Rattus norvegicus: one gene and its partners. The protein of the gene in region 3 interacts with the protein of the main gene of each other region in a biochemical or structural test. Links are inferred from orthologs where the notes say so. Each region holds a gene or a part of one and is shown on either strand. Other genes may lie near its edges. The genes, in order: Ncoa6, Nr0b2, Pparg, Nr0b1, Ncoa4, Cdc34 and Hdac3.

Region 1 (3,849 bases), on a different chromosome or scaffold from region 3:
CTCCTTAAGCAGTGTGCCCCCTCCCTTGCTTGGGTCGAATAATGAGGGGCTGTCCTGGGAGCAGCATGCCTGAGCTCTTTGTGCACGGTCTGCTACCTATGAGTACTGCTTAGCTATACTCGAAAGGTAGCAAAGTTTTCTCACTGAAAAGTCTAACTTCCCTGATTTTGGGGGCTTGTTTTAGGTTATCCTACACAACCAGTTGAACAGAGGCCACTGCAGCAGATGCCTCCTCAACTCATGCAGCATGTGGCACCCCCACCACAGCCACCACAGCAGCAGCCACAACCACAACTGCCTCAACAGCAGCCACAGCCGCAGCCACCACCACCTAGTCAGCCACAGTCGCAGCAGCAGCAGCAGCAGATGATGATGATGCTCATGATGCAGCAAGATCCCAAATCCATTAGGCTTCCGGTCTCCCAAAATGTCCATCCTCCACGGGGTCCTCTGAACCCAGACTCCCAAAGAGTGCCCATGCAACAGAGTGGCAATGTGCCTGTCATGGTTAGTTTGCAAGGACCTGCCTCTGTGCCACCGTCACCTGATAAACAAAGGATGCCAATGCCTGTGAATACTCCGCTGGGAAGTAATTCAAGAAAGATGGTATACCAGGAGAGCCCACAGAATTCCAGCTCACCACTAGGAGAGATGCCCTCACTTCCTGAAGCTGGTGGCAGTGAAGTACCATCTGTTTCAGGAGGCCCAAGTAACATGCCCTCGCATTTAGTAGTTTCTCAGAATCAATTAATGATGACAGGACCCAAACCTGGACCATCTCCCCTTTCAGCAACTCAAGGTGCAACTCCCCAGCAGCCTCCTGTAAACTCCTTGCCTAGTTCCCATGGCCACCACTTTCCAAATGTGGCTGCACCAACCCAAACATCTAGGCCTAAAACACCAAACAGAGCCAGCCCCAGACCCTATTATCCTCAGACGCCCAACAACCGCCCTCCTAGCACAGAACCTTCAGAAATCAGTCTCTCTCCAGAAAGACTCAATGCTTCCATAGCAGGACTCTTCCCTCCACAGATTAATATTCCTTTACCTCCCAGGCCAAACTTAAATAGGGGCTTTGATCAACAGGGCTTAAATCCAACAACTCTGAAGGCCATTGGGCAAGCACCTTCAAATCTCACTGTAAGTAATCCTCCTAACTTTGCTGCCCCACAAGCTCATAAATTAGATTCTGTGGTGGTGAGTTCTGGAAAACAGTCTAATCCTGGAACAACAAAACGGGCAAGTCCAAGCAACAGTCGCAGGTCTAGTCCGGGGTCCAGTAGAAAGACTACCCCAAGTCCTGGAAGGCAAAATTCAAAAGCCCCTAAACTTACTCTGGCTTCTCAAACAAGCACAACCCTGTTGCAGAACATGGAGCTGCCTAGAAATGTGTTGGTTGGTCCCACTCCACTTGCCAATCCCCCTTTATCTGGAAGCTTTCCTAACAATAATGGGCTTAATTCCCAGAATCCCACCGTGCCTGCGCCTGCAGTGGGGACTGTTGTTGAGGATAACAAAGAGAGCTTGAATGTTCCTCAGGACAGTGATTGCCAGAATTCCCAGGGGAGGAAGGAACAGGTAAACACTGAGCTGAAAGCAGTCCCTATCCAAGAAGCTAAAATGGTTGTCCCCGAAGATCAGTCCAAAAAGGATGGGCAACCTTTGGATCCTAACAAACTCCCCAGTGTAGAAGAGAACAAAACTTTGATGTCTCCTGCCATGAGAGAAGCACCAACATCACTAAGCCAACTTCTCGACAACTCTGGAGCTCCTAATGTGACCATTAAACCCCCTGGGCTTACAGATCTGGAAGTAACACCTCCAGCAGTTTCAGGAGAGGACCTCAAAAAAGCATCTGTCATTCCCACACTGCAGGATCCGTCTTCTAAAGAACCCTCTAATTCTTTAAACTTACCTCACAGTAACGAGCCGTGTTCAACCCTTGCGCATCCAGAATTGAGTGAGGTCAGCTCAAACATTGCACCAAGCATCCCTCCAGTAATGTCAAGACCTGTCAGCTCTTCCTCCATTTCTACTCCCTTACCCCCAAACCAAATAACTGTATTTGTTACTTCCAACCCCATAACCACTTCATCTAACACATCAGCAGCCCTGCCAACTCACTTGCAGTCTGCATTGATGTCGACAGTCGTCACGATGCCCAACGTGGGTAACAAAGTTATGGTTTCTGAGGGACAGTCAGCTGCTCAATCTAATGCCCGGCCTCAGTTCATTACACCTGTCTTTATCAATTCATCTTCAATAATTCAGGTTATGAAAGGATCACAGCCAAGCACAATCCCTGCAACCCCATTGACAACCAACAGTGGCCTGATGCCTCCCTCTGTCGCAGTTGTTGGACCTTTACACATACCTCAGAACATAAAATTTTCTTCAGCTCCTGTAACACCTAATGTCCCCTCCAGTAGTCCTGCTCCAAATATACAGACAGGTCGGCCATTGGTCCTTAGCTCACGAGCCACTCCTGTTCCGCTGCCTTCCCCTCCTTGTACATCCTCTCCAGTCGTCGCTCCTAATCCTTCTGTCCAGCAAGTAAAAGAATTAAATCCAGATGAGGCTAGTCCTCAGACGAACACCTCAGCAGACCAGAGCACTCTGCCTTCTTCACAACCAACCACAGTAGTTTCTCCCCTTTTGGCCAATAGTCCAGGCTCCTCTGCCAATCGGCGAAGCCCAGTCTCATCCAGTAAGGGCAAAGGAAAAGTGGACAAAATTGGCCAGATTTTGCTGACCAAAGCTTGTAAGAAAGTTACAGGCTCTCTGGAGAAAGGGGAAGAACAGTATGGTGCAGATGGAGAAACTGAAGGCCCAGGGCTAGAGACCACAACTCCTGGGCTAATGGGAACAGAGCAGTGCTCCACAGAGCTGGACAGTAAAACCCCAACACCCTCAGCACCCACTCTCCTAAAAATGACCTCTAGCCCCATGGGCCCAAGCTCCACCTCAACAGGACCCATCTTACCTGGCGGTGCTCTTCCCACCAGTGTACGCTCTGTAGTAACCACATTGGTACCCTCTGAGCTCATCTCCACAGCGCCAACCACAAAAGGCAATCATGGTGGGATAACATCTGAGCCACTTGCAGGTGGCCTAGTGGAGGAGAAGGTGGGATCCCATCCAGAGCTTCTACCCAGCATAGGTATGTACTTGAGCTTGGCATCAGCTCCTCGTGTCAGTGTTTTGCTGACCTGCCCTACAAGAGAGAAAGACAAGCCCTTTTCTACTTAAAGGAAGAAAAATGGCAGTAGTTGTAGACTTACTTACTGAAAGTACATTGAAAAATAGGCTTTTAAATCCCATGTTCAGTTTATATTCATTAACATGGTTCTTTCCTGGCTTCTGAATCAATTCATGTTTCATTTTTATGTGTATATGTTTCTCAGTTTTGAAAAGCTTTTTCATACACACTATCTCACATCATCTGTATACCAACCATGTGATATAGCATTATTCCTTGCTGTGGGTGAAAAGAGTGAAGCTCAGAAATGTCTAATATTTGTTGAGCCTATACTCTTAAGTCTCTGGCCTGGCACAGTCCCTTAAGTGTAAACATCGACCTCTCTATGCCCCTCCCATGATGAAGACTTACATGTTCTTCTTGTCTTGTTCTCATTGTATGCTAACTCAGGGGCCTTTCTGTTTGAATTGCTCCAGAAAAGCTTACCAGAAAACCAGGTTTTGTGATAAGCAAAGGAAAATCTGAAGGGGGAAGAGTCAGATAGGCTTGAGTTGGTAACTACCAGCATTTACCATCTCAGTGGGCTGGGGCAAGTTTCACTTCCTCCTTTGTAATGTAGAGACAGTAATGGTCACAAGATTTCAGTGAGG
Region 2 (4,619 bases), on a different chromosome or scaffold from region 3:
GAGGCATGGAGGCCTGGCACATCTGTGGCAGAGAGGGTAAAGAGGGCCGGTGAGCATCTAAGTCTGTGGAGGTTTGCCCAGGGTGGGAGAATGTTAGCAGTTCCCTTCCCTCGTATGCTGGGGTGCAACTCAGGGCCTTGCGAATGCTAGTGTGCACTAGGCAGACATTCCACCATTGGGCTGCATGTTGATAGCCCCTTTAACATACTAGGGAAGTGGGCTGGAGAGATAGCTCAGTGGTTAAGAGCACCGACTGTTCTTCCAAAGGTCCTGAGTTCAAATCCCAGCAACCACATGGTGGCTCACGACCATCTGTAATGAGATCTGATGCCCTCTTCTGGTGTGTCTGAAGACAGTGACAATGTATATAAAAAACATACTAGGGAAGTACATCCTCAGCTCGTAAAGCCAGGAAGTTAGAGGACGGTTTTGTGGCGGGCGCTGGGAATAAAATCCAGGTCTGTGAGGCAATCTCTTCACTGATGAGTCCATGCCTTGGTCCCCTCTGCCACCTCGGAGGCCCCACCCACTGTCTCCTTCACTATTTACCACTTATCCATCCATCCACTATGGAGAGCAAGCAGATAATGTGGATGTAATGACGAAGACACACGGGCTGGAGAGATGGCTCAGTGGTTAACAGCACTGACTGCTCTTCCAGAGGTCCTGAGTTCAGTTCCTAGCATCCATGTTGTGCTTTACAAGTCCCTAGAACTCTAGTTTCAGAGGATCTGACGCCCTCTTCTGACATCTTTGTGACATCTCCTTGACAGGTGATGTGTACATATGCACACGCATGTAGGAGCTCATAAAGTAATGTATAAATAAATCTTTTTATTTTTACTTTTCATTTGATTTTTTTTAAAGACAGGGCATCTCTGTGTAGCCCTGGCTGTCCTGGAACTAGTTCTCTGACTGGGCTTGAACTCAGAGATCCCAGTGCCTTCCAATGCTGGAATTAAATGCTACCACCACCTGGCTAAATAAATCTTTTTTTTAAGATTTATTTATTTTATGTATACGATTACACTGTAGCTTTTCTCAGACACAAGAAGAGGGCATCAGATCCCATTACAGATGGTTGTGAGCCACCATGTGGTTGCTGGGATTTGAACTCAGGAGCTCTGGAAGAGCAGTCAGTGCTCTTAACTGCTGAGCCATCTCTCCAGTCCCTAAATAAATCTTAAAACCAAAAACCAAACCACCCCAAAACAAAAACAAAAAAAACCCAAAAACCTAACAAACAGAAAACAAAAACAAAAACAAACCCACCAAAAAACCAGGGTTTGAATCTCAGTGCAGCCACTTACTGGCTGAGTGACCTTGAGTAAGTAATTTAATCTTTCTGAGTGACCTTCCTTAAATGAGTACTTTAATCTTTGTGCTTCAACTTCTTCATCTGTCAAGTGGGGATAATGACAGTTCTGGTCACCCACACCTGTTATGAGGTTTAAGCAAACCAATATTTGTAAAGCCCTTAGACTGAGTCCTAACATATGGTAGATGTCATGGGACTAGTTGGGACGCCTACTCCTATGACGTGACATCGTACTTTAATTTCAAGGTCCGTCTCTTGTCTTCCTCAAAGCCACGAGGATTATTCTCCCAAGCTAGGCCATCTTGGTCTACGCAGTGAGTTCTAGACCAGCCAGAGTGACATGGTGAGACTGTGTCCCAGTTCTCCCTGTCACCCCATCACTCTTCTCCTGGCTTGACTTCACCCCACTCCCATACTCTCTCTCTCTTCTTCTCTGAGTGGCCTCCCTGAACCCACGGTGGACCTTCAGAACCTCACTATGCAGCCTGGCTTTGAAGATATATCTGCCAAGCAGCCATGTCCCCACCCCATCTACCCTCCCACACTCCCTAAGATGCAGGCCAAATTTCAGGAACCATGGCAAAAAGTAGTCTCTGCATTAGCTTGGTCTGCAGTCCCAGCTGTGTGACCTTCAGGTAGTGGCTTAACCTCTCTGTGCCTCTCCTATGAGGTATCTATTTTTTTTTTTTTTCTTTTCTATTTTTCGGAGCTGGGGACCGAACCCAGGGCCTTGCGCCTGATAGGCAAGCGCTCTACCACTGAGCTAAATCCCCAACCCGAGGTATCTATTTTTGAGGCTAAAAAGGACCCAAAGGTACAATGGATGCCAAGTCCCAAGAAAGCACTTTCCCTGGATGAGCCCTGTCCCCTCCCACCTTGGCCACCATCCAGGAGTGTCTGGAAGCTCACCTGGGTTGAAGAGGATAGTGCCTTTCAGGTATGCGTACTCCTTGGGACCCAGCTCAAGGCTCCAGAAAGACTCCAGGCAGTGCTGCAGCCACTGCACGGCAGCCAGTGAGGGTTGTGGTGGGTCTGGTGGCTGGGCACCCTGGGCACCACTGTTGGGTTCCTCTAGCAAGATCTTTTTAAGTATGCTGGGGACCGGAGCCTCGGCCACCTCAAAGGTCACAGTATCCTGGGCCAACCCAAGCAGGAAGAGAGGGCCCCAGCAGCCCTCTAGCAGCCGTCGCTGATCCTCATGGGGCAGGAGGCAGAAGGACGGCAGGTTCCTGAGGAAGGCTACAGTCTTGCCTAGGACATCCAAGGCCTCCCTGCAGGTGCGGTGTGGAGCACACAGGCGCACAGGCCGGTGTTGCTGGCACAGGCAGTGGCTGCGAGATGCGGGTGCCATGGGCCTGGTCCTGGGACCGGGGCTTAGAAGTGTGTAGAGAATGGTGGGGTGGCTTGCAGAGCCCTGGCATGGGCAGACCCCTGATTGGCTGGAGCTCATGGTCTGTGTCTTGTTCCTGTTTCTTCCTGGCTCTGTGGCCCTCTCTACGGAGTGCTATTTATATCCTTGATGGGCGGGAGGGGGACTGGCCAAACAACCTTGACTCCAGAAGTCATGTTCATTGAAAAAAAAAAAAAAAACCATACACACACACACAATGCATACACGCTGACCCTGGCAGGACTGGTGGAGAAGTGGTGGGGGAGGGGCACTGGAAGCTCCACGTGGCCTTGCTATCGCTTTAGTCAATGAAGTGGCCATTGCAGGGCACAGGGCCACCTGCCCACTGCCTGGATGCCCTTTATCGGATGACTCAAGTGTATAAACAGGGTTATTAACCCAGGCTGTACCAGGGCACCAAGGTCTCAGGCGTTCAACCAGCCAGGGGCTGGCCGTGACTGTTGTTTCTATTGGTGGCCGTTTTCATGTACACAAGACCAGGGTTCTCACAGAGCCAAGGAGCCAGCCAGGGAGCTGGCTAAAGCCTTGAATACAATACCCAGCCTGGAAGTGGCTTATCGCTGCTTTGTTTGCCTAACCTTGGGGCTCTGCTCCTGTTGTCGGTAAGGAACAGGCTGTAGGGAAGGGAGCCAGGTCCCTGGGGGACTTTGTTCACTGTACAGTCTAGGAGGCTGCCCTCCTGGGACTCCAGGACATGAACCCCTTTGGGAAGAAGACCTTTCAGAGCCCCTGCTCCCACCCTGCATTCCCATAGCTTCACAGAGGCTGGATCTGCCCTTGCAAAACCGAGGGCCTACATGGCTAACATTTAGTAAGGACCCCCCCAACCCCCCCACCCCCACACACTTGGTGTGGGTCTCGGTCCACTGTAACACTGAAGACTTCATTCTTACTCTGTGACACTCTGGAGGTGAAGTGACCTACTCAAAGTCACTCCGACGGGGACAGAGCACAGGTGCATCTGACCTCAAAGTCATCTTTGTTTGTTCCCCTGGATCAATTGTGCAGCCGAAGTGTGAATTTCCCAGAACTGGTGGCTAAGAGGCACCCCCCACCACATACTTGGTCTGCAGGTATGGCCTACCTGTGGTATGGGTAGAAACACATCTCTGCTAGCACATGACTCCTCTGTCTTGGACATTTGTCTCAAGCGGTCAGAGGTGAGGGACAAGGGACATGGGAGGGCCTCAGTTGTGTCGGGTTCCTGACCTTGGCTAGCCTTGCCTAGCAGGCTCCCTGTTGCCACATTCTTAGGCAACCTGGTGCTGTGGATAAAGAGAGATCTGGCATCCTCTGCCCTGGCATCTGGTTTAGGCTCCACGAGTCCCACTCACAGTGTGACTATCAGCTTGTCTCCAGTGTTCAGGGAGCCCCCCCCCCCATTTTATGTTTTTTCTAGACAGGGTTTCTCTGTGTAGCTCTGGCTGTCCTAAGAAATTGCTCTGTAGATCAGGTTGGTCTCAAATTTACAGAAATCCACCTGCCTCTGCCTCCCTAGTACTTAGGTTAAAGGCCCATGCCTCCCCCCAACCCCCAGCTGAGCCTTGGTATCTTAGGTGAGACCATAAGGTCTTCCTTCCTGTGGTACTGATTTAAGGACAGAGCAAAGTCCTGTGTAGACTATGAGACTGGCACCTGACTCTCTTCATCCCCAAAGACAAGCGGGCACACTGCTTTCACTGTAGTGGTGGATATCCTCAGCTCAGGTCCTGTTGGAAACGAAAGGACAGTCAGGGAGCGAAAGGAACAGTCACAGTGAGAAAACGCAGATGCACATGGACTGATGAAGCTCAGTGAGGTGGTTCGGGCAGGGGTCCTAGAGATTATATTCAGGCCTCACCTCTTCCCTAGGACTGTCACCAGAAGGGTGATGCTTTGCTGTTCGTCCTT
Region 3 (3,849 bases):
AACTCACTATGGAGACCAGGCTGACTTTGAACTCACAGAGATGCTCCTGTGTCTGCTCCTGAGTGCTAATATTAAAGGCACACACCACCACACCTTCCAGTATTTATAAGGTAAATACTGATAAACAATGTATTCTATGACTTCCAGAACATGATTAGTTAGATGCTATTTTATCCCTGAGAATGCTAAAGTCATTTAAAAACCATATATAAAAACATGAATATATTAAGTTATTTTCCTTATAATTGGGGTAGCATATTCTTTACTTTCTAAAATACTCTTCACAGAGGAAGAGCTCAGCTATTGCTTTTTGCCCTTCCATTACTCAAGGCTTAGTCTGCTGCTGGACTAAGGGAACGGCGCTATCTTAGGGCTTGGTAGGGACCAGCCTCTCTAACCCATAGTTTTGTTTTTCCTTTCGCAGTTCTGGGGATAAATGAAGCTCCTACCCAAGTGATCCATGCCTTTGATTCACAATTTCTACAGTTCTAATGTAGAAACATGCTTAATATTGCAGCATTGTCTACGGGTCAAGTGATATACATATACCATCTATCAAGCCTTACTTGTTTAAGAGATTATATAGCCTGATGAAAAACACTAGAGAAATCAGAAAATTTAGGTCCTAGTACTAGCTTACCATTCACTATCTTGCTGTGATACCTTGGGTAAATCCTCTCAAAAAAACCTCTGCAAGATGCATTGAGATGCCTCAAAGAATCATTTTGGAGAAGGGGAAGAGGGGCAGAGTAACCCTGCTTTTATTAGCTTTTCTTAGATTGTCAAATATTATATTACTTGAAGAATGAGTTCTGCCAAAAAAAAAAAAGCCCATAACTTTATCTTAATTTCTTTGAGTGAGTTTGTAATAGGAAATGGGAGAGGCAAAATTGCAGAAAATTCTAGGATGATTTTTAAAATGTATTTTTACCTTGCATCCTTCACAAGCATGGACTCCATAGTGGAAGCCTGATGCTTTATCCCCACAGACTCGGCACTCGATGGCCATGAGGGAGTTTGAAGGCTCTTCATGTGGCCTGTTGTAGAGTTGGGTTTTTTCAGAATAATAAGGCGGGGACGCAGGCTCTACTTTGATCGCACCTGTGCATGGGAAATTTCGAGAAGATGGTTATCTCATGACAAACAATCTTAAAGAGGCACCGTGGCTTTCCATGGTGGCCTTCAGATTTTCATGCCATAACTTTACTGTCTCAGGAGAGATGCTGGGGGACATGAAGAAACATCGATAGGAAAAAGTAAGACTTTATCATCTCAGGCAAGTCACTACACCCCAGAGCCTCACCTGCACAAATAAAGCAGGAAGGGAATTAAAATGGAGGAAATTAAGTGTGTCCCCCTGCCACTCCCCACAGACATTGCACAGGGTTTGAAGAGGTGCAACATATTTGGCAAGGGAATGGGCCACATCTGGCATTCATTCTGCTACTATGGGTTTTATTGAAATGGTGCATTTTAGAAATAGTTTTAAATTTTTCTTGCAAAAGAAATACAGAAGGAACATGGGCAAGAAAATGCCATGGTGCGCCCAGCCTGAGGTGCCAGGTTATCAACAGGGTTGAGTCAATAGGTGGTTTGTAAAGAGATCTTTGATAGAGAGCAGGAGAACCCATGTGAAGCAAGTACTGTGTTTGCCCGGAGCTCAGACCTGTTGCATTTCCATATTAGGCTCTAACCCAGAACCACACAGATAAATACAACCACGTATACTTTCTATCTAAAGAAAACAACTAGAAATTACAGGAAGTTCTTACTTATTATCAAGTAATGCTTGCCTGTGACACAGGGGTGACTCTGGAAAACCAGCACATTGGCCCACAAGATAAAAATCAAGGAAACAGCACCACAGAAATGATCCTTTATCTTGAAAAGTTCAGTTCTGGTTTTTCTTGAGGCTGATGTTTGATGTCAATTTACTTAATGACATGATGATCTGTCAATCAGCCACGATGTTAACATGTAAGTTTATGCCCCAAACTAGGGTTTGAGGTAAATTTTACAAATTACAGATTAGAAAGAAAACCTAATTGTAATTGTAACTTAGCGATGATGAGTCATGTAAGTTGACCTGCAACTGTGACTTATTAGTAAGAGGCTGGGAGAATTCAAAGTTTACATGATGGACTCTTAGCCTAAGACAAAACTGTCGATGTAATGTAATTACCCTAGAAAATGTTCCAAAGACAGAAACAAGATAGGAAAGAAACGGGGGGGGGGGGGTTGGGAACACTGTTGCTCTGTCTTCTTTTTGGCCTATCACAGACATCTAGAAGGTTAAGTATAGTAGATAAACAACTGCGTAAAGACGCCTTCTCTTCAGAGTGCTGATCTCAAGAGCATTTATTCAAGGATATTCAGAGACTGTCTAATTCCAGCCCTAGTAGTTTGAAAAGGGAACATACTTTGGTATTCTTGGAGCTTCAGGTCATATTTGTAATCAGCAACCATTGGGTCAGCTCTTGTGAACGGGATGTCTTCATAGTGTGGAGCAGAAATGCTGGAGAAATCAACCGTGGTAAAGGGTTTGATGTCAAAGGAATGGGAGTGGTCATCCATCACAGAGAGGTCCACAGAGCTGATTCCGAAGTTGGTGGGCCAGAATGGCATCTCTGTGTCAACCATGGTAATTTCTGAAGTGGAAAGAAAGAACAGGATATGAGTCAAGTTCTGGAGGAGAGAGCAGTCCTCAAGGACATATAGAGAGGGAGCTGAATGAGTTTAATAAAGCATTTCACTCAAACTTCCCTATGAGGGATGAGTGCATGACTGCCTTTCTAGCACCATCCAGGTAAGAAGGAAGTCAGACTTTATTTGAGTTTCTGAGATGAGAGGACTTATGATTTGCTCCCTTAGCAAATTTCAAATATATGATATAGTGTTCCTAACTCTAATCATCTTGCTGTCCATCAGGTCTCCAGAGCCTAATGGAAACTCTGGCCAGTCTTCCTATTTTCCCTATGCCTAGTCCTTGGCAACTAACAAGAGTGTGTGGCATTTTCTGCGTCTAGTTCATTTCCCTTAGTGTAGTGTTCCTTTGAGTCATCTATATTGCTACAAGGAGCAGAATTTTCTCCTTTTTAATGGCCATACAGTATTCCATTATATGTATGTGTATGTGTGTGTGCATGTATGTGCATGTGTGTACATTCTGCATGTGTGTATATATACTACAGAGTTTTTTGTTTATTTTTACTTGTTTGTTTATGTGCATGTTAGTATATATATGTGCATTTTGTATTTGTGTGTCTATATATACCACTGAGCCTTTTGTTTACTTTTACTTGTTTATATGTCCTAGATTCTTATGTTAATTTTATGTTTTGGCTATAGAGAATAGTGTCATAATAAACAAAGGAACATAGAAATCTTGACATAGTAATTTTATTTCTTGGCCATATTTCTAGCAGTGGGGCTGCTAATTACACGGAAATTCTACATTTGAGTTTTTGAAAATCTCTACTTGTTTTCTATAATGGCTGCACAGTATATAGTATATAACTAAAAAATGTTTCCATTGCCCTATATCCTTTCTTCTTTTTATGTACTAGTCATTCTAACAGTTGTGGAACAGTGTATTGTTGTAGTTTTGATTTGGTTTTCTCTGGGGATTTGTGATGTTGAACATTTTATATGCACCTTTTCACCATTTCTGTGTTTTCATTTCATGAATAGCCATGAATAGCTTTTGCGCATTGTTTTGGGCTAAGATCTTTGGTGTTTTGTTACTGATTTGCAATCTTCTTGTGTGTGTATTCATATGTGTGTGTTTGCACGTGTGTGTGTGTGTGTGTGTGTGTGTGTATGAGCACATACACGCTTGTGCATATGGAG
Region 4 (4,414 bases), on a different chromosome or scaffold from region 3:
AGATCAGTCAGAAGCAACTTTGAAACAGATTTGGTTTAAATGATGACATCATCTTTCTTACTTCTTTTACAAAATTCAAGGAGAGTACTTAAAAATCATGTTTAAAAATAATCATGGCGAAAATAACGGTGACAGAAAATAAGTAGGAATCTACTATGAGCAAATATAGCTTATAAAGAAAACAACAAAATCAAGCAATGCTTCTTATCTCGATTATATTTCTAATTAAGACAGCATCAACATCCTCCACTCTATACCCTGGCAGTCAAGTTTGGATACCTATTTGATTGTGTGTATTGATAGTCTCTCTAGGTCTACATAGAGATGGCTCTTGTCGAAAGCTTTCTTAAGCCAGATACACATTACTTTTCACACCACAGCCTCTGGCCCTTTCCTTAAGGTACCTATTTTTAACTCTTGCATTAAAAATTCTTTCTAAGATACAAACTAAGAGTTTTCCTTATGGAGTTCTCATTCATACTGTTTTGGTTGGTCCTCATTTCCAACTCCTCCGAGCATCTCCCTGCCCCTCTCCCCTACTTGTTCCCTTCCACCCACACAAAATGTCCCTTCCATGTAAGGGCAAAAGAGAAAAGGACTCCACAGTTTACATATCTCCTTACTTTTTCTTATGCCCTTATGTTAAAACCCATTGATATGTTTATATATAATTTTAAAGCTCTGTGTCTTTGTCAACTGTAAGGCTTTAAACATAAAGACAAGAGAATGCAAAAGGGTAATCAGGAAAGAGACCACATGCTTTACAGACCTTGAATTGTACACAAATGTGGGTGCATTACTCTTTAAAAGCATACAATCTGGTGGGATAAACTCCTATGGAGAGAGTACTGGGGAAAAGAATAGAGGAAGAATAAGAGAGGGATGGAGAGAGACGGGAAGAGTGGTGAAGGGTGACAAAGGATGTGAAACAGGGTCAAGGCAAGTGGCGAACTACTGGAAATACAGACTTCTGAAGGCTGAGACCTTGGTCTCGACTTTGAATCTCAGCAGAGCAGGATTAATAGCATTGGCTGAAAGAGAAACTGTTTCTCAGATGACCTCAGATATCACCTGAGCCACTTGAGGATTCGGACTTGCAGGATCTGGGCTGGGCTGAACTAATGACTCTTAAGGGGAGGAGCTGGGGAAAACTTAACATACCCTATCCCCTGCAGCACACATCAGGAGCCCTTTAATTGGCAAATTTGGAAAATGGGGATGTAGGAAGAGCTGTGTGAAATGAGCAAAAGCTTTTTAAAAGTTATGTCACTGGATTTAAAGGACGGCTAAAGAGAGAAGAGTCAGTCATGTCCCATGAAGGCAGAAACTTCTGTAGCAGCAGATAATAAACGTAGAGAGCTTACTGTTCACACACACACACACACACACACACACACACACACACACACACCCCTACACCACCACCACCCCCAGTGCCAAGTTTCTGGCAGAAGCTCACCCACTTGACCACTTGACTGGCCATTCCAGATGTATGCATCAGCTTTTCAGAGTCAGTCACAAGTAACGTGGACTCCAAAATTCCTATAGCCACTGAAAACTCATAAATGCTTGCGTGTAGAGGTGGTGCTTTTCTGACCTGAAGAGACAGTGTACAAATTTGTCATGCTTACCTGGGTTAAAAAGCACGGTCCCCTTCAGATAGGCGTACTCTTTGGTGTCAATGTTCAGACTCCAGCACTTAAAAAAGAAACTCTTGATGGCCTGGACCGCAGCGACTGAGAGCACGTGCCCAGCCTCCGCAGACACCGTCTGTGGCTGCTCTGTGGCCTGGGGATCTGCGGGCTCTGGGCCTTCGGTCTCCTGCCGCCTGGTGGTGAGCATTTCGTGCATCAGGTTGGGCTCGGAAATCTCCATCATCTCGAAGTGCAGGTGATCTTGGGCCAACTCAAGCATGAGTAGGGGCGCCCAACAGCTCCGCACCAGCACCAGCTGCTGATCTAAGGGCAGGATCTGGAAGCAAGGCAAGTACTTGACAAAGCGCAGGGTCTTCAATAGGCCAGCCGACGCTGCCTCGCACACCACCTGTGGATCCTTGAGTGCAATCGGACGCTGCACACCAGAGGAGGCGTCCCACCAGGGGGCCCTCGGCTGCTCTTGCGGAGCTGCTGGTGTTTGATCTGCTCTCACGGGCGTGTCGGAGGCAACGCTGCTCTGCTGGGGCTGCTCTTCACCGCACACATAGCTACGGTACAGGAACGCCATGGCCTGTGTGCTCTGAAGCCCCTCCGGGCCACCCACACTCTGGGTACAGTAGGACAGCTGCCACCACTCGCCTCCGCGATGTGCCTCGGGTACTTCCCGAGACACGTGCGTTTGCTGGGCACTAGTGAGCAAGCTGTATAAGATGCTGCCCTGCCTCGGGTGCTCTTCTCCGCAGAAGCAGCAGCGGTACAGGAGCGAGGGGACCTGGCCAGCTGGCAGCCCCTCTCTGCCCACCAGGGGCTCTGCGCTGCTGCAGGCGCAGCCCCAGCAAGGAGCTCTGAATCGCGCCCTGGGCGCCTCGGTCGCCCCGCTAGGCTGCCTGGCGTTGGTGAGCATAGAGTAGAGGATGCCACCCTGGCGCGGGTGGTTCTCCCCACAAAAGCAGCAGCGGTACAGAAGGGACAAGGCTTGCCCGCCGGGCAGTCCCTCCCCACCCAGGACGGGCTGAGTACCGCAGGCGCAACCCCAGCACTGAGCCCCCAAGCGCACCTCTCGCTCTTCCCTAGACCCGTGCTTCTGCTTCGCGCTCATCAACAGATTGTAGAGGATGCTGCCCTGCCACGGGTGGTCCTCACCCGCCATGGCCTGAGGCTCCTGCAACCCGTTCTGCCCAGTGGCCGCCGCTTGGGACTTATTTATACTGAACGCTCACGCAAGCGCATCCGCCTCCTCCGCTAGGACAAGGGCGCAGAGGGGGACGCGCTGTTGCGCTTGAATGTGTGTGGCCATGACCTCGGAAGTTCAAAGGGGCAAACACTCCCTAGGATCTGGAAATCTAAGGGGAGCGTCTCAGCACAGGAACTGGCATACCGCCCCCCTTCTGTCTGGTTACTCTTCTGGTTACTCCTTCCCCTACCTGGGAAAGAGGAGAGCAGCGAACCTCAGGCAGGGAGTTAGGGCTCTGTTCCAACTCTTGCAGTTGGACTCCGACAGAGGACTCCGACCTCTAACTTATTTCCTTTTCTGGAGAAAGACGTGCTTAAACGGGAGAAATAGCCCATTTCTGTGACATCTTTATAAACTTTTATAGAATGATCACAATTTTTATAACTTGCGTTTTGTATAATGTTTGCTGAGTGTGTTCTCATTTCTTAAGATGTTGAAAAGTGTAGACCCCAGACACGTAGAGTCAGAATTACACCCGGAGGCAGAAATGCCTTCTTTTGAGCGCTAGCCAAAATATCTGAGTGTGAGTTGTAAAATAATTCACCCCCAGGTTACACATATGCACCTTACATTTGAAAAGCATTGGCAGAAGCAGGTAATAATACATCTTCAGTTTAATTCGAGCAATCACCCGCTTTGTCCTAGATGCTGGATCAAAGAGCTGGGGGCTGCAAACATTATGTACTTGTAGCTGACTCCTAGGAACAGACTAATCACAAGATTGTTACTGTGAGAACTTCTCATACTCTTGTAGAAGCAGGTCAGTGATAACTGTCCCTGTTCCCAACCATTGTAAGATACTAACAACAAATACAAGAATCAGAAAGCCTAAATGCTAGCATTTGTCACGGAGCTTCCCACCTTTAGTCTCACTCAAACAAGAGACCAGGGGGCTCTTTCTATTCAACTATGTGACTTTTGTACGACTAGCCAATTCTTATACCCACTAGCCCCATAACTTTGAGAGTACAAGCCGTTGCTCTTACAGAACAGGAAAGGGGACCGGAACACACTAATTGATATGGGACACCCCTCTCTGTCCCGTTCTCCCTCTTCCTCTTCTACCTCCGCTATCCAATTCTGTAGGAACTACTGAAGTGTAAGAAAATTGGGGATACCCTCAGTTTTTTTTTATCGTTTTATTGTTTTAAAAATTTTATACATACTTGCTGACAGTGTCCCTCCTACTTCCATAGGTTTGTTTATTTATTTATTTATTTATTTATTTATTTATTTATTTATTTATTTATTTTAATATTTGTCTTGTTTGGGTAGCCATAGCTGTTATGTGTTCAAGATTGCAATGGTTGTATAATGTCCAGAAAACAGAGTTTCATATTATTCTTCTCCTACATTCCCTTTGCATCTCTTATACGATGCACCCCAAGTCTTGGAGGGTTGATAATGATGTCTCATGTAGGGCAGAGTATTCAGCAGTTAATTTGTATTCTGCCTGTGCTGACCTCTATGGCACAAAGGTTTAATTCCTTACTGTGGCACCAGATGAATTCCATTTGAATCCTGG
Region 5 (3,849 bases), on a different chromosome or scaffold from region 3:
AGGTCGCTGCCCTAGCAAGCCACCACCCATGAGGCCAGAGACTTGAAAAGAGCCCACGAAACAGCTGAAGTAACACTACTCACAATGGTCTTGAGGGACCCAAACGTGGTGATGGTCTGACGCAGGGCAGATGCATCTGCTTCAAAGAGCAGGACAGTAGAATCCTCAGGCTTAAGGGTCAAACTGCCCAGTCTACCAAAATGATAAAATTTAGGTATTTTTCAAGGATTATCAGTAAGGGCAAGTATAACATTAAGCATAAATGTAGGATGGTTTTACACGAGAATACAAAGTTGAGTAAAATCCAATATGTGCGATGAGTTACAAACCTGACTTGCTTTTAGGCCTACTAGGACAGACCAAAGTCAAAACAAGTGAAAGGTCGTTACCTCTCCAAGCACAGCGCGACTTGATTGGCAAGATCCTTGTTCTGGGTAATCTCCAGTTGATGAATAAGACAATTGAATTGGCCCATTAGCTACAAGGAAAATGCAAACATCTAGCCACAAAGATATTAAAAGTAGGACAAGGCAGAGACGCCCACTGAATCTGGAGCACCCCAGGCACCTTACCCAGTACAGCTGCTGAGCCTGCTGCTGCAGCGTCTCCTCCTTCAGCTGATAGATGAGATCCACCTGCTCGTTGAGCCACACCTCTCGGCTTCGAAGGCATTCCAGGTGGCGACTAATGCAGCTGTGAATCTGAGCTTTCACCTACGAAATGCATGGCAGCATAAACTGAGTGTAATAAGCCAAAGAGTCACAATTCCCATACAATGCTCGCGCTCTTAAACTTCTGAGGTCAGAAATCCTTTATTACTCACGGACCACTGTGAAGGATATAGTATTCTTTTAGTATATACTCAACATTTGCCTACAATTTCAGTGATCCCATGAAATCCTTTGAATCCTAATAAAAGAATCCAAGCCAAAAAGGCATACCTAACTTCTAAACTCCTTCACTCCTCCTCCTGAGAGGATCAAGGTTATCTGGGGTATCAGTGATCAATAGGAAAACATATGCCAGGGATACCAATCCCCTCAGCTTTCCACATAACTTAGAAATACAGTCCTAACAAATTTATCATTGATAAGCTTAGTGGTGAACACCTTTAATCCTGGCATTAGGAAGACAGGCAGGCTGATCTCTGTAAGTTCGAGTCCAGCCTGGTCTACAGAGCAAGTTCTAGGACAGCCAGGGCTACGAAAGAGAAACCCTGTCTCAGAAGAGGAGAAAAAAAAAAAAAAAAGCAAACAAAAGAAAGAAGAAAAAAAGAGATATGCTAGCTAGTCTGTGTCCTTTTTCCACATGCATGGAATAAACAGTCCTTTAGAGTAAGCCAGAAAGCAAGGGGACCGTTAGCACTGATAGTTTAGGTTAATTATAAACTAATGTTCCTAAGAAATGTATATAGAAATTCACCTTTTGTCTATACAAATATTTTGAGGGAAAAATTCAAAACATCTATAAATCATATGGCATCCAAAGTATATCATAAAAGTTCCCCCTTCAGAAAAAAACTGTTTTCTAAGTCATATAGAGCTTGAAGCACTCACCAGCAGAATGCTACTGGAACTAACAAATTTCATTCTGACATGCAGAGTGACAGTCATTTAGAGACTGCACCACTTAAAATCATGTTACCTACAAGTTAAGTGGGGACATAATGAAGTGGCATTTTTTATGTATCAAGAAGGTACAGATACCCTGGGCACTGTGGCGCAGGCCTTTAATCCCAGCACCCAGGGAGGCAAAGGCAGGTAAATCTCAGTGAGTTCATAGCTAGTCTGGTCTACACAGAGAGTTCCAGTCAGAACTAGACAGAGACCCTGTCTCGCTCAGTAAGTAAGTAAATGAATAAAATGCAGCGAGGCAAATACTGCTTACTCTGTTACTCTGTATGACTGGGTACAAGAACCACACAAAGGAGCAATGGAAATCGCATGCTGAATGGCATTCTACAACTAGGCTCTCAGATTCTTCCAACAGGAATTATTTCCCTGTGAGATCGAAAGCTCTAACACACCAGGCAAAGGAGTAGAAGAGTCAAGACCATTCAGGATATGGGATCAAACCTGATGGTGTTGTAAGACCCTTGTTTTTACAACTTTGTTTCTTGTATCTATGAACTTAATTTCTTCACTGGGTGGCACTGAGAAGTCCTTTCCTGCGCTCTAACCAGCCTTGTGCTACAGCCCGATCAAGGACTAGAAAAGCACACAGCACACCTCTCGTAGATTATCTTTCATTTGCTGCTCGGCCCGGAGGACTCCACCAATCGCAAGCTCCAGCTCCCTCCTTGCATCACTGCACCTCAGAAGTGTCTCTCTACTACTGCAGCAGCCACTCTGCTCCAGGGATGTATTCATTCTGCTCACTGTTCCTTCAAAGGAAAGAAAAAAAACCAAATAACACCATGATGACATCCCCAAAACATAATTCAATCATGGCCCAAAAGGTTTCTCCAGTCAGCTCTCACCACTAACAACTTTGATTTCCAACACATGTACTCTTAATACATACTGCCTCCCTTCCTCACCAACCTGTTTCTGCTAGGTGGAGAGGGGGCAGAGGCAGGAGGATCTCAGTGAGTTTGAGGCCAGCCTGGTTAAGAGAGAGTTCCAGGACAGCCAAAGTTTCAGAAACCCTGTCTTAAAAAAGCAAAAGAAAGGAGGGAGGGAGGGAAGGAGAGGGGATTCTGACTACTTAAGGACCATCTACGTGTGAAAATATATCTGAAAAAATACACTAGTGGTCCTGAATTAGCAGAACACAGGCTAGTGAAAATGTCAGAAGAACATTAAGCCATCTTTGATATACTTCCAGGGTGCAATCCCAGCACTAGGTAGGGGAGGAGACCATGGCAAGCAGGACTACATAGCACTGGTTTTGAGACTCTGTCTCAGAAAAAAACAACAAAACTAAAACAAAATCACCAATCATTAACAAGTTTCTGGACTACAGATGTGGCTCCATGTAGAAGTAATTCTCTTACCACCTGTGAGTCCCTGGGTTTTATCCCTACCACTGCAAAATAATAATGATAACAAAAATGGACTTGAGATATAAAAAGGATGTAAAGCTAATTGTTCTGGTTCCAATTCTGTCATGAGTTTTTGCATGTTTTGGTGATAAAGTACATAAAAATATATTTGATAGTGAAAGTATAAAATCCAAGATAAAACTACATTGCTTCAGAATTGCTATTCAAAACTATTTACCAAAAATAATACAGATTTTGGGTTTGGTTAATTTTGGTGTGTGATTTTGGATATTTGCAAGTATTTGCAGGAAAGTTTTTAAATGAGTGAAAATTTCTATGCACTTGACGTCATAAGGCACTTGTATCTGTGGACTAGGACTGAGATGTATGGGAGGAGCCCTGACTACCTTGAAAACCATCTGCTGGCAGTAATTTAAGAGCTTTAGTTAAACGCTGCTCAGAGATGGATTCTGAGGCAGGGAGGTTAAGTTGTCATCATGGGAGCACAGGGACTGCTCAGTAGTTGAGTGCTTGATCCTCTGAGAGAGGATGGAGTTCAGCTCTCAACAACCACCTGTAAGGACAATGAAGGCGCATGCCTGAAACCCCTGCCCTCCTAAGTCAGAGGGGGCAAGATTAGAAACTAAAGGTCATCGTCTTCAGATACACAGTAATTTGGCCAGTGATAGTCATAGGCCAAAAGAGGTCACCAGACCTGTGTGTAGTGTTTTTGTTTGTTTGTTAGCTTGTTTGTTTATTTGTTTAATGAATAACCTGTTTTCTCTAATTACTGGGACTGAAAACATAAAAGGCAGACATTAGACACAACACAGATCTGTGACAGAAACAAATTCTAAAACTATTTC
Region 6 (4,460 bases), on a different chromosome or scaffold from region 3:
ATCACCGAGGCGTCCACGTTGGCAGGCGAGAAGGTGTTGGGCTCATTCAGCAGGGAGATCACACTCAGGAGGATGGTCCTGTAGGGCCGTAGGTGCAAGCTCAGCTCCCCAGACTCTGGGAACCCCTGACTGGAGCAGGGAAGGGTGGATCTTAGGGTACAGGGTGTTTGCGGGTGCCCACGGTGCAGTTCCATGGCAATTCTCACCTGACATTCTGCGTGGGGTTCCACCGCTCTGAGGGTAGCTCCCCACTCTGTGGGTCATCAACTGGGGGATGGAGGATGGAGATGCATACGTCCCCTGTCTGCAAGAGTGACCAGGGTTAGAGGAGGGGTGGGGCATGTGCAAGGGAGGCAGAGAAGTGTGTGGTGGAGTGTGCCTGAAGCAGGCCTCTAGTGTCTTACCTCATAGATGTTTGGGTGCCACATCTTGGTGAGGAACCGGAAGGCTGGTGGGGAATATGGGTAGTCGATGGGGAACTTGAGGCGAGCCTACAGATGGCAGAAAATGGGGTGGCTCAATGGCAGGCCCCCGAGCACTGCTGGAGTCAGGGGCTGTGCCCACCTGCCGCTGGTGTACAGGCCCTGAAGCCAACTCCAGTCTTTGTACACCAGTATACACACAGCACACCTCTGTGACTTGACATCCAGGTTAGGAAAGGCAAGGCGGTTAGGAAAGGTGTGGGCTAGCTAGAGGAGTGAGTCAGCAGGTCTGCCTGGCCTCAGGCCTCCCACCAACACCACCCAAGCTCAGGGGCCCAGGCCAAGAGTAGTCACCAGACAAGCTGGAACCATCTGCCTGGTCACAGCAACTGCTTGTGGCTGAAGCTCACCCTGCCCACTGCCCCGACCTTGGACAGATAGAGAAGGCCTGAGATTTGCCCTAGTCTTGGAGCTCCCCAAGGACAGCTTCCAGTGTTCTGCCTGGCGCACACAAACCTAGTGTGGAGTTGCCACCCCGATCCTCTCAGGAGAGCAGATGGGGAAGGTGGCATTGCTGGAACAACACCCCACACTTCTGGGGCTCCAGATGCTTCTAAGAATGAGCAGACTGAGGCTCAGAACAGGAAGGGTTCTCTCAAGTGAGACAGGCTGGGCTGTCCAGAGAAGCTCCTCACAGCTCCCCTCCTACAGAGACTCCCCACGTCTCAGTCACTCACACCATATAGGAAGCTCCTACATTGGCGGATTTGAGTGACATCATGCAGGGCCTCCTCCTAAGCTACCTCAAGAACAATGTGAGCCTAGGAGGCTCTACCCACAATCCTTTACGGGCAAGGAAGAGTTCAGGTGACCCTGCTCTGAGCACCCCCCCCCCCCCCCCCGCAAACACAGGAGACAAGGTGCTAACAGCATCTGCATGTCCTGAAGGCGGCTCAGTTCAGACCACCTCCAGGTGGGAAGCGAGGGTGTCCACATGTGTCTCCCTCCCGTTCTCCACATGCTGTACCTGGAAACCCTAACTCAAACATTCCCCTGCATAAGGAGACTTGTGACTTTCCTAAGCACTGACCAAGAAGGGTGAGGACATCAGCCACAAAGGAAGACGCAGAACAAATAAGTGCCACGGCCCTACATCTGGGGCCCCAGACTGGCTGGGGTTTGCGTGCACCTTTGGCCCTAACATAAGATCCTGTGATTCTGCTAGTTCTAGTCCATGGCAGGCAGGATGATTCAACTGTGCTGACATGGGTACCTATACCTGGCCAAACATACTCAGTGTTGGGGGCTGCCTAAGCCTCCCTGCTCCCAACCACAAAAACATCTGGTGCATTGAGCCTGAAGCCACCAGAGGGCAGACGACACCCCTTAGAAGGAAAAATCAGGCCCCTAAGACTCCACCTGTTCAGTGGAACCTGAGAAAGGCTGTCAGGGTGGGGCAAACAGAGAGCTCTAGGGTCCAGGGCCCTTGGCAGGAACCCAAGGTGTGGCTCCAAGATTCAGGGTGGGCCCCCACCACCCCCTTGAATGCATTACGTGAAGCCTGGCCAGTGCTAAAGGTGGCTGTTGTCCAACAGGCACGGCTGCCAAGGCCCTGCCAGGGCCTCTACTGGAACTGGAGCAGGTGGCTGTCCAGGCTACACGTCTCTTCCCTGGGGACACATCGGCCAGTGGCTGCTCTGGTTGTGTTCCAGGGTAGGGGACAGGCCTGGGGATGTCAGCCAGCAGCTGCCCGTGGTCCTTTATGTCTTGAGATATGGACAAACTAAGGTGAACCTTTTCAGGTTTCACCACATGCTGGTGGGGTGAGGGACAACCTGGGAACATGCTTGCCAGCAGAGGGCTCCAGATGCTTCTGCGTCTTGTGGTGGGGAGAACTACACCGGAACAAGAAGGCCAGCAACTGTCCCTGGGGAGACCCTTCACCAGAAGCATGTTGGAAGAGTGGGGACAACACGGGGAGATACATCCCCAGGTACATGCTTAGTCCAGTGCACGACAGCCTGGGAACACACTGACCAGCAGCAGGCTCTAGAGGCCCCTACGTCTTGTAGTGGGGGTCTGCCTGGGGGTGCGGCATACATTAGCTGTCTCTGGTCATGTAGCCTGCTGGAGAACAGTATAGGGAGACCAGTCCCCGGGGTGAGGTCAGCACGTGCCCAACAAAAAAGGGAGGGGCCGCTTTGCACGAGGGGCCTGAGCCAGCCTGGGAGAGAGGCAGGCACAAAGAGGAAACTGAGGCTCGGCTCACCTTGAAGTAGCCGCCCTCATAGTAGGTGTTGGGGGGTCCGAAGATGGCCACCTCCCAGTTGTACAGGTCGCCCTCGTCCACCAGCGTCACCCGGAAGCCCTCCACCGGCTCCTCCTGCAGCCCCTTCAGCTCCAGCAGCAGCGCCTTCTGCGAGCTGGGCACCAGCGGCCGGGCCATGGCGGTGACGGCGGCGGCGGCGGAGGGGCCCGGGGCCGGGGCCGGGCCGGGCCGCGGGACCGGCGCGAGCTCGCGGGACGGACCGGGTCGCGCGCCGGCAGGGGGAGAGCCGCCGCCTTCCTCCTCTGCGCCGCCGCCGCCGCCACCACCCGGGGACCCCGAAGGCTCCACTCGCTCTGGCGCCGCTGCCCGCCCGGCGCTCGCTTCGGCCCGGCCCGGCCCGCGCCTAACGCGCCTGCGCGCCGCAGCCGCCGGGCCTCGAATGCGCCTGCGCACCGGCTCCCGGCCCCGAATGCGCCTGCGTGCCTCCTTCGGACCCCGAATGCGCCTGCGTGCCACACCCGGGCCCCGAATGCGGCTGCGCGCCGCTGCTGCCGGGCCGGAAATGCACCTGCGCGCCACTGCCGGGTCTAGAATGCGCCTGTGCGACGCCTCCACCGGGTCCGGAATGTGTCTGCGCGCCCGCCCGCGGGGCACGCCGGGAAGTGTAGTCTTCTTCCCCCGCCCTGCCGCGCAGGCGCCTTGCGTTTCCGAAGCCCCGGAGGCCGCCGTCGCCTCCGGCCGGAAGAGCTCCGCGGATGCCTGTGTGCGGAGTGGCGGGCAGGGCTGGGCTGCGCGCTGCGGAGTGGCAGCTGCGGCTTTGGGGGCCTTTTCTGTGACGTCAAGGGGGCGTGGTTGTGGGTGGGGAGTTGGGCGTGGCTTGTGCGGGAGCGGAGCAGGATCCGCCCTAGTTTCCCATCATGAAGCTATGGATGTCCCTATATTGTCTCTATGGGCTCAGGTAGAAGGAGGGCCCACAGAATCGACGATTTGGGGTTTGCAGACCTGGCTTCCAGCGGGTGGAGTGCTAACCTCTACCCTGGGAGGACTCTCATGTCAGGCTGTCCTTTGACCACACCCTAGTCCTGCTTAAGCAGTGGTGAGGCATCCTGGAAAGTTACAGGAGCGGGAACAGACACGCAAAGTCCCCGAGGTTGACCGGCATAGACACCCACACTCCTTTCTTGGACATTTGGTCATGAGTATTGAGGTGGCAGCATATTCAAGCCTTGCAGACAGGTGTGTGGTGTACCCGTGACCTCTAGGGGTGGGTGGTTCTGGCCCTAGGCTGTGTTGTTCACACAGCTGGACTGTGGGTGTCCTGAAGGACTACAGCTGCATCAATAACTGGGGCTGGGAAAAGGCAGCTCCCCCGCCCCGTAACCCCCCACAGGTGTGCCAACATCCTGTCCTGGCTGGGGATATCAGGCAGACCTGTTTGGGGATAGGGAAACAGTGTCAAAGGTGGGGCTGGTTGATGTGACCAGGAAGAGCCAAGGATCCAATGCCACTTGCCTGTCCTCCCCCTGGGAACTCTGGGCCCTTGGGCTAGAAAGCTTTCTGGTCATACTCCTTTTTCAAGGGCTTCCAGTATCATCTGTTCCCTGTTGTCCAGGCCAGATTGCCCACCTTACACTGTCACCTAGTTGTCAGCACATAGCAAATAGCCCAGGCTATTTGTCTGAGATGACCACTCGCACAGCCTACACCTAGGAAGCTCTTGATGTACAGACAGACAGGGTTTCCCTCCCTCCACCTGGAACATACTTCTC
Region 7 (3,849 bases), on a different chromosome or scaffold from region 3:
ATTGGAATTTACCTATCGGAGTGAGCTTCCCGGTGTAGGTGCTGGGAACTGAAACTCTGGCCTCTAGGAAAGCAGTAAACACTAATGTTGAGATGGCGCTTTAGCCCTAACGCAGTGGTTCTCAACCTGTGGGTCTGAACCAGGGGAAAACACATAGGACCCTCCAGCTATAACTTTATTTTTGTTGCTTGCCATTTTATAACTGTCATCTTGCTATTGAGTGGTGTCTCCTAAGACCACTGGGACTCTGTGCTTTCCCATGGTTTTGGCCCACATGTTGAGCAATACTACCCAAGGAGTTCTAATCCTGAGCGCACAGCTCAGAGGCAGGAGGATATCAGATGGGGACAGGGTGAATAGCACCCTCAGTAAAAGCGCTTGCTATACAACCATGAAGACTCAAGTTTGATCCCAGAGCTCATGTGAAAACACTAGGCCTGGCGGTACCCATTTATGATCCATAATCCCAGCCCTGGTGAAGTAGAGACCAGAAGATTCATAGGGTTTGGTAGCCAGCCAGCTTAGCCTACTTGGAAAGTTCCAGGTTAAAAAAAAAAAAATGGATAGTGCCTTTAGGCCAACACTTGAAGATGTCTTCTAGCATGTGAATACACATGCACACATCCTCAGACACACGTGCACTGGCACACATATGAAGACTCACACATTTGTACAAGTAGTCACACCCAAAGAATGCAACTTTGAGTTATACTACACAACAGGACAGAGAAATATTGTTGGTCAAGTCTTCCTCCAGTATTTCAAGGCATATCGGTGGTCACGTGTCTTGGATTCACCTAGTCCTCTTGTTGCTTCTAACAGGGAATGTGTTGAATATGTCAAGAGTTTCAATATCCCTCTCCTGGTGCTGGGAGGTGGTGGTTACACCGTTCGAAATGTTGCCCGGTGCTGGTGAGTATTCTACTCTGCTCCTCTGTAGTTCATGATAAACTCCCTGAAATTGGAGGGGTGGTCCTTTCAGCCCTACCCCTCTGCTTGCTGGTTTCAGGACATATGAAACATCTCTGCTGGTAGAAGAGGCCATTAGTGAGGAACTTCCCTATAGTGGTAAGGTCCACTTCATGATGCCCCCCACAGGGGGCCCATTCTCACCAGTCCTCAGAATGACCTTGTTTGAAGGGAAATTGCACATTCTGGGAGCTCTGCAGACTAAACCCCTGTGCTCAGAGCAGAGCAAATACTCTTACACATGGGGACCAGGACTCAGAGAGGTGATCGGAAAGCCATGGGATTCAGTCTTTTGTATCTCAGCCATACTCTCGTTCATCCCTCTCCCAATTGCTTCTCATCTCTAAGAATACTTCGAGTACTTTGCCCCAGATTTCACGCTCCATCCAGATGTCAGCACCCGCATCGAGAATCAGAACTCACGCCAGGTTAGCATCTTGGGGAAGCTGGACACAGCAATGCTGGGCGGGCTCAGGAGAGGTCTCGGAGGTGGGAAATGGAGAGAGCAAGGGAAGGAAGTTCTGGGCTGTCACTGTCACTCTTATCATGTGGTAGCCCTGGATAAAGGACAAACAGTTGGGTTGCTGGGAAGGGACAGTCACTAACTGAGGATCTGACCTTGAAATACTACTTTAAACCAGGATGGTCATGGTAGAAGGCGGATAGAATTTCATGTACTATGGCAATCACCCTGGCACTGTTGACTCTTTTCTTCTAAACTAGTATCTAGACCAGATCCGCCAGACCATCTTTGAAAACTTGAAGATGCTGAACCATGCACCCAGTGTCCAGATTCATGATGTTCCAGCAGATCTCCTGACCTATGACAGGACTGACGAGGCCGATGCTGAAGAGAGAGGTCCTGAGGAGAACTACAGCAGGTCTGGGGCCAGAGAGCGGGTGGTTCCTCAGGCTTGCAGAAAAGGCATGAGTTCGCCTGGCCCTGGCTGATTTCCTTTAGGCTGCAAGCTTTTTTCTCTTTTGACCCTTTTAGATACATCAAAATGTGTTGTATTTACATAGTTTCAGGACTACTCCATGGCAGTAACTGTTATTTATGGTTTGATTCATGTGGTTTTGGATAGGTAATTTCTATAGATTATAAGAACACTATATGCACGTGTGCACATTCAGAATTTTATTTCTACAGTTACTTATTTTTCTTGATTTGTTGCTGTTGTTTTTGGGTTTTGAGATAGGGTTTCCTCTGTGTGGACCAAGCTGGCCTATAAATCAGATATCCTCCTGCCTCTGCCTCATGAGTGCCGGGATTAAAGACATGCACCACCATGCCTTGCTCTTTCTTGGTATTTTTGAGATTGGGTTTCACTATCATAGCCCAAGCTGGCCTTGAGCTCATAATAATCCTCCTGCCTCGGGTTTCTAAATGCTACCCAGTTTGTTTATAAAGTTCTTGTTACTATGAGTAAGGATATTTTCTATATGTTGCTCTGAGTTGTGTTTGCCTGTTTTTTTCTTTGAAAGGGTGTGTGCCATGTCGGTATAGAGATCATTGTTTCTCAGTTGTATAATTCCATTGTGTGGTGACCACATGATCACAAGGGCAGTCAGTTACCACTTGTGGATATTTACGTTACTCTCCATCCCACTCCCCCACCCCCCCCTTTTTGTGGCTATTAAAACAATAAGGACTGCGGCACTGAATATATATATATACATATATATATATATAAAATATATATATTCACATATATATGTGTGTGTGTGTGTGCACGCACGCGTGTGTGTATATATATACATATACATGTATATGTATATATATTCATAACTGTTGCTGTAGGGAAAATGGCATATGCAGTAAAACTTTTCTAATGTTGCCAAATTACCTTCCAGAAAGAATTTAGTGGTTTATTTACATCTTTTTAAGAAAAATCTTTTATTTACTTTTAGATTGATTTATTTTATGTGTATGGTGTTTAACTTGCATGTATTTAAGTACACCATTGTGTACCTGGTGCCTGCTAAGGTCAGAAGAGGGTGTCAGATCTCCTGGAACTGGAGGATGGTTGTAAGCTGCTCTGTGGGTGCTGGAAAGAACCTGGGTCCTTTTCTATGGCCACAAGTGTTCCTAACTGCTGAGCTGTCTCTCTCGCTCCCTATTTACGTTTGCCAGCATTTTACTCCATTCTGAGCAGTGAACAGTAGACCACTGCCCACATTCTCTTTTATAGGGTTTCTACATTTGTTTAGTTCATTTTTCTAGATTTATGAGTTGTATTGAGTGAGGTGTGTGTGTGCATGTATATGTATAAATAATCTTTATCTTCATAGATCTATGTTGAAATATTTATAGTTAGAATGAAATAAGGCAAGATTAGTATAGATCTTTTTGTTGTTTGTTAATCCTCAAAGAAATTTCTAGAAAATGATGAGAAAGGACAACAGACAACCGAACCCAGAACGATGGAAGAGATGGGGTTAGTAGGGACCAGATGCATTTGCAGGACTGAGACCATCTGAGTTGCTGTGCTTCTGTCATGGGCTTGAAGCTGGCTGTGCTGCAGCTGTGGTGACATCTCAGTTCCTCCTGAGTCTGTTCTGGGTCACAGAATTTTGGCCTCCATTTCTGTCCTCTGGACTTGGTCTTGACCCTTGGGACTTTCTAGTCCTCCTCTTCCCTGGATGCCTCCCCATTCCCTGGCTTGGGTGAGGAAGTATCTAAACATCTGGTTCAGGCTCTGTCTAGTCATCCATTCCTTAGCATCTGTCTACAGCTCTCTAAAGCCTGAGTTCTAGAAGCTGATCACCATTGTCTAGGTTGGTTCGGCGACATCTGTTTTTAAGTTCTCCTTTTGTCTGGGTTTGGCTTTTTCATCTATAGTTACTTTGGCTCTACTTTCTGCATAACCCTAAGAGATG

Evidence for each region.
Region 1: the proteins of Pparg (region 3) and Ncoa6 interact in a test that uses a peptide from one of them, tested with the Homo sapiens proteins (2 studies listed by BioGRID). The link is inferred for Rattus norvegicus from reciprocal best matches to the Homo sapiens genes PPARG and NCOA6.
Region 2: the proteins of Pparg (region 3) and Nr0b2 form a complex in vitro, tested with the Homo sapiens proteins (2 studies listed by BioGRID, with this or other methods). The link is inferred for Rattus norvegicus from reciprocal best matches to the Homo sapiens genes PPARG and NR0B2.
Region 4: the proteins of Pparg (region 3) and Nr0b1 form a complex in vitro, tested with the Homo sapiens proteins (2 studies listed by BioGRID, with this or other methods). The link is inferred for Rattus norvegicus from reciprocal best matches to the Homo sapiens genes PPARG and NR0B1.
Region 5: the proteins of Pparg (region 3) and Ncoa4 form a complex in vitro, tested with the Homo sapiens proteins (2 studies listed by BioGRID, with this or other methods). The link is inferred for Rattus norvegicus from reciprocal best matches to the Homo sapiens genes PPARG and NCOA4.
Region 6: the proteins of Pparg (region 3) and Cdc34 form a complex in vitro, tested with the Homo sapiens proteins (2 studies listed by BioGRID). The link is inferred for Rattus norvegicus from reciprocal best matches to the Homo sapiens genes PPARG and CDC34.
Region 7: the proteins of Pparg (region 3) and Hdac3 form a complex in vitro, tested with the Homo sapiens proteins (3 studies listed by BioGRID, with this or other methods). The link is inferred for Rattus norvegicus from reciprocal best matches to the Homo sapiens genes PPARG and HDAC3.

What each region holds. Positions count from the first base shown.
Region 1 is NC_086021.1:164,364,229-164,368,077, reverse strand, and holds part of Ncoa6 (nuclear receptor coactivator 6), read left to right. Parts: intron 1-184; coding exon 185-3,160; intron 3,161-3,849. UniProt on the Homo sapiens protein: Nuclear receptor coactivator that directly binds nuclear receptors and stimulates the transcriptional activities in a hormone-dependent fashion. Coactivates expression in an agonist- and AF2-dependent manner.
Region 2 is NC_086023.1:151,061,343-151,065,961, reverse strand, and holds the start of Nr0b2 (nuclear receptor subfamily 0 group B member 2), read right to left. Parts: upstream 2,803-4,619; 5' UTR 2,769-2,802; coding exon 2,228-2,768; intron 23-2,227; coding exon 1-22. UniProt on the Homo sapiens protein: Transcriptional regulator that acts as a negative regulator of receptor-dependent signaling pathways. Specifically inhibits transactivation of the nuclear receptor with which it interacts.
Region 3 is NC_086022.1:150,172,068-150,175,916, reverse strand, and holds part of Pparg (peroxisome proliferator-activated receptor gamma), read right to left. Parts: intron 2,649-3,849; coding exon of another isoform or gene 2,641-2,648; coding exon 2,421-2,640; intron 1,102-2,420; coding exon 932-1,101; intron 1-931. UniProt on the Homo sapiens protein: Nuclear receptor that binds peroxisome proliferators such as hypolipidemic drugs and fatty acids.
Region 4 is NC_086039.1:54,706,056-54,710,469, reverse strand, and holds the start of Nr0b1 (nuclear receptor subfamily 0 group B member 1), read right to left. Parts: upstream 2,813-4,414; 5' UTR 2,806-2,812; coding exon 1,632-2,805; intron 1-1,631. UniProt on the Homo sapiens protein: Nuclear receptor that lacks a DNA-binding domain and acts as a corepressor that inhibits the transcriptional activity of other nuclear receptors through heterodimeric interactions.
Region 5 is NC_086034.1:7,405,454-7,409,302, reverse strand, and holds part of Ncoa4 (nuclear receptor coactivator 4), read right to left. Parts: intron 2,384-3,849; coding exon of another isoform or gene 2,370-2,383; coding exon 2,229-2,369; intron 714-2,228; coding exon 573-713; intron 479-572; coding exon 390-478; intron 193-389; coding exon 84-192; intron 1-83. UniProt on the Homo sapiens protein: Cargo receptor for the autophagic turnover of the iron-binding ferritin complex, playing a central role in iron homeostasis. Acts as an adapter for delivery of ferritin to lysosomes and autophagic degradation of ferritin, a process named ferritinophagy.
Region 6 is NC_086025.1:10,670,722-10,675,181, forward strand, and holds the start of Cdc34 (ubiquitin-conjugating enzyme E2 R1), read right to left. Parts: upstream 2,887-4,460; 5' UTR 2,869-2,886; coding exon 2,692-2,868; intron 492-2,691; coding exon 405-491; intron 305-404; coding exon 207-304; intron 79-206; coding exon 1-78. UniProt on the Homo sapiens protein: E2 ubiquitin-conjugating enzyme that accepts ubiquitin from an E1 ubiquitin-activating protein, and catalyzes its covalent attachment to other proteins by an E3 ubiquitin-protein ligase complex. In vitro catalyzes 'Lys-48'-linked polyubiquitination.
Region 7 is NC_086036.1:30,023,850-30,027,698, reverse strand, and holds part of Hdac3 (histone deacetylase 3), read left to right. Parts: intron 1-822; coding exon 823-912; intron 913-1,009; coding exon 1,010-1,068; intron 1,069-1,317; coding exon 1,318-1,397; intron 1,398-1,692; coding exon 1,693-1,850; intron 1,851-3,849. UniProt on the Homo sapiens protein: Histone deacetylase that catalyzes the deacetylation of lysine residues on the N-terminal part of the core histones (H2A, H2B, H3 and H4), and some other non-histone substrates.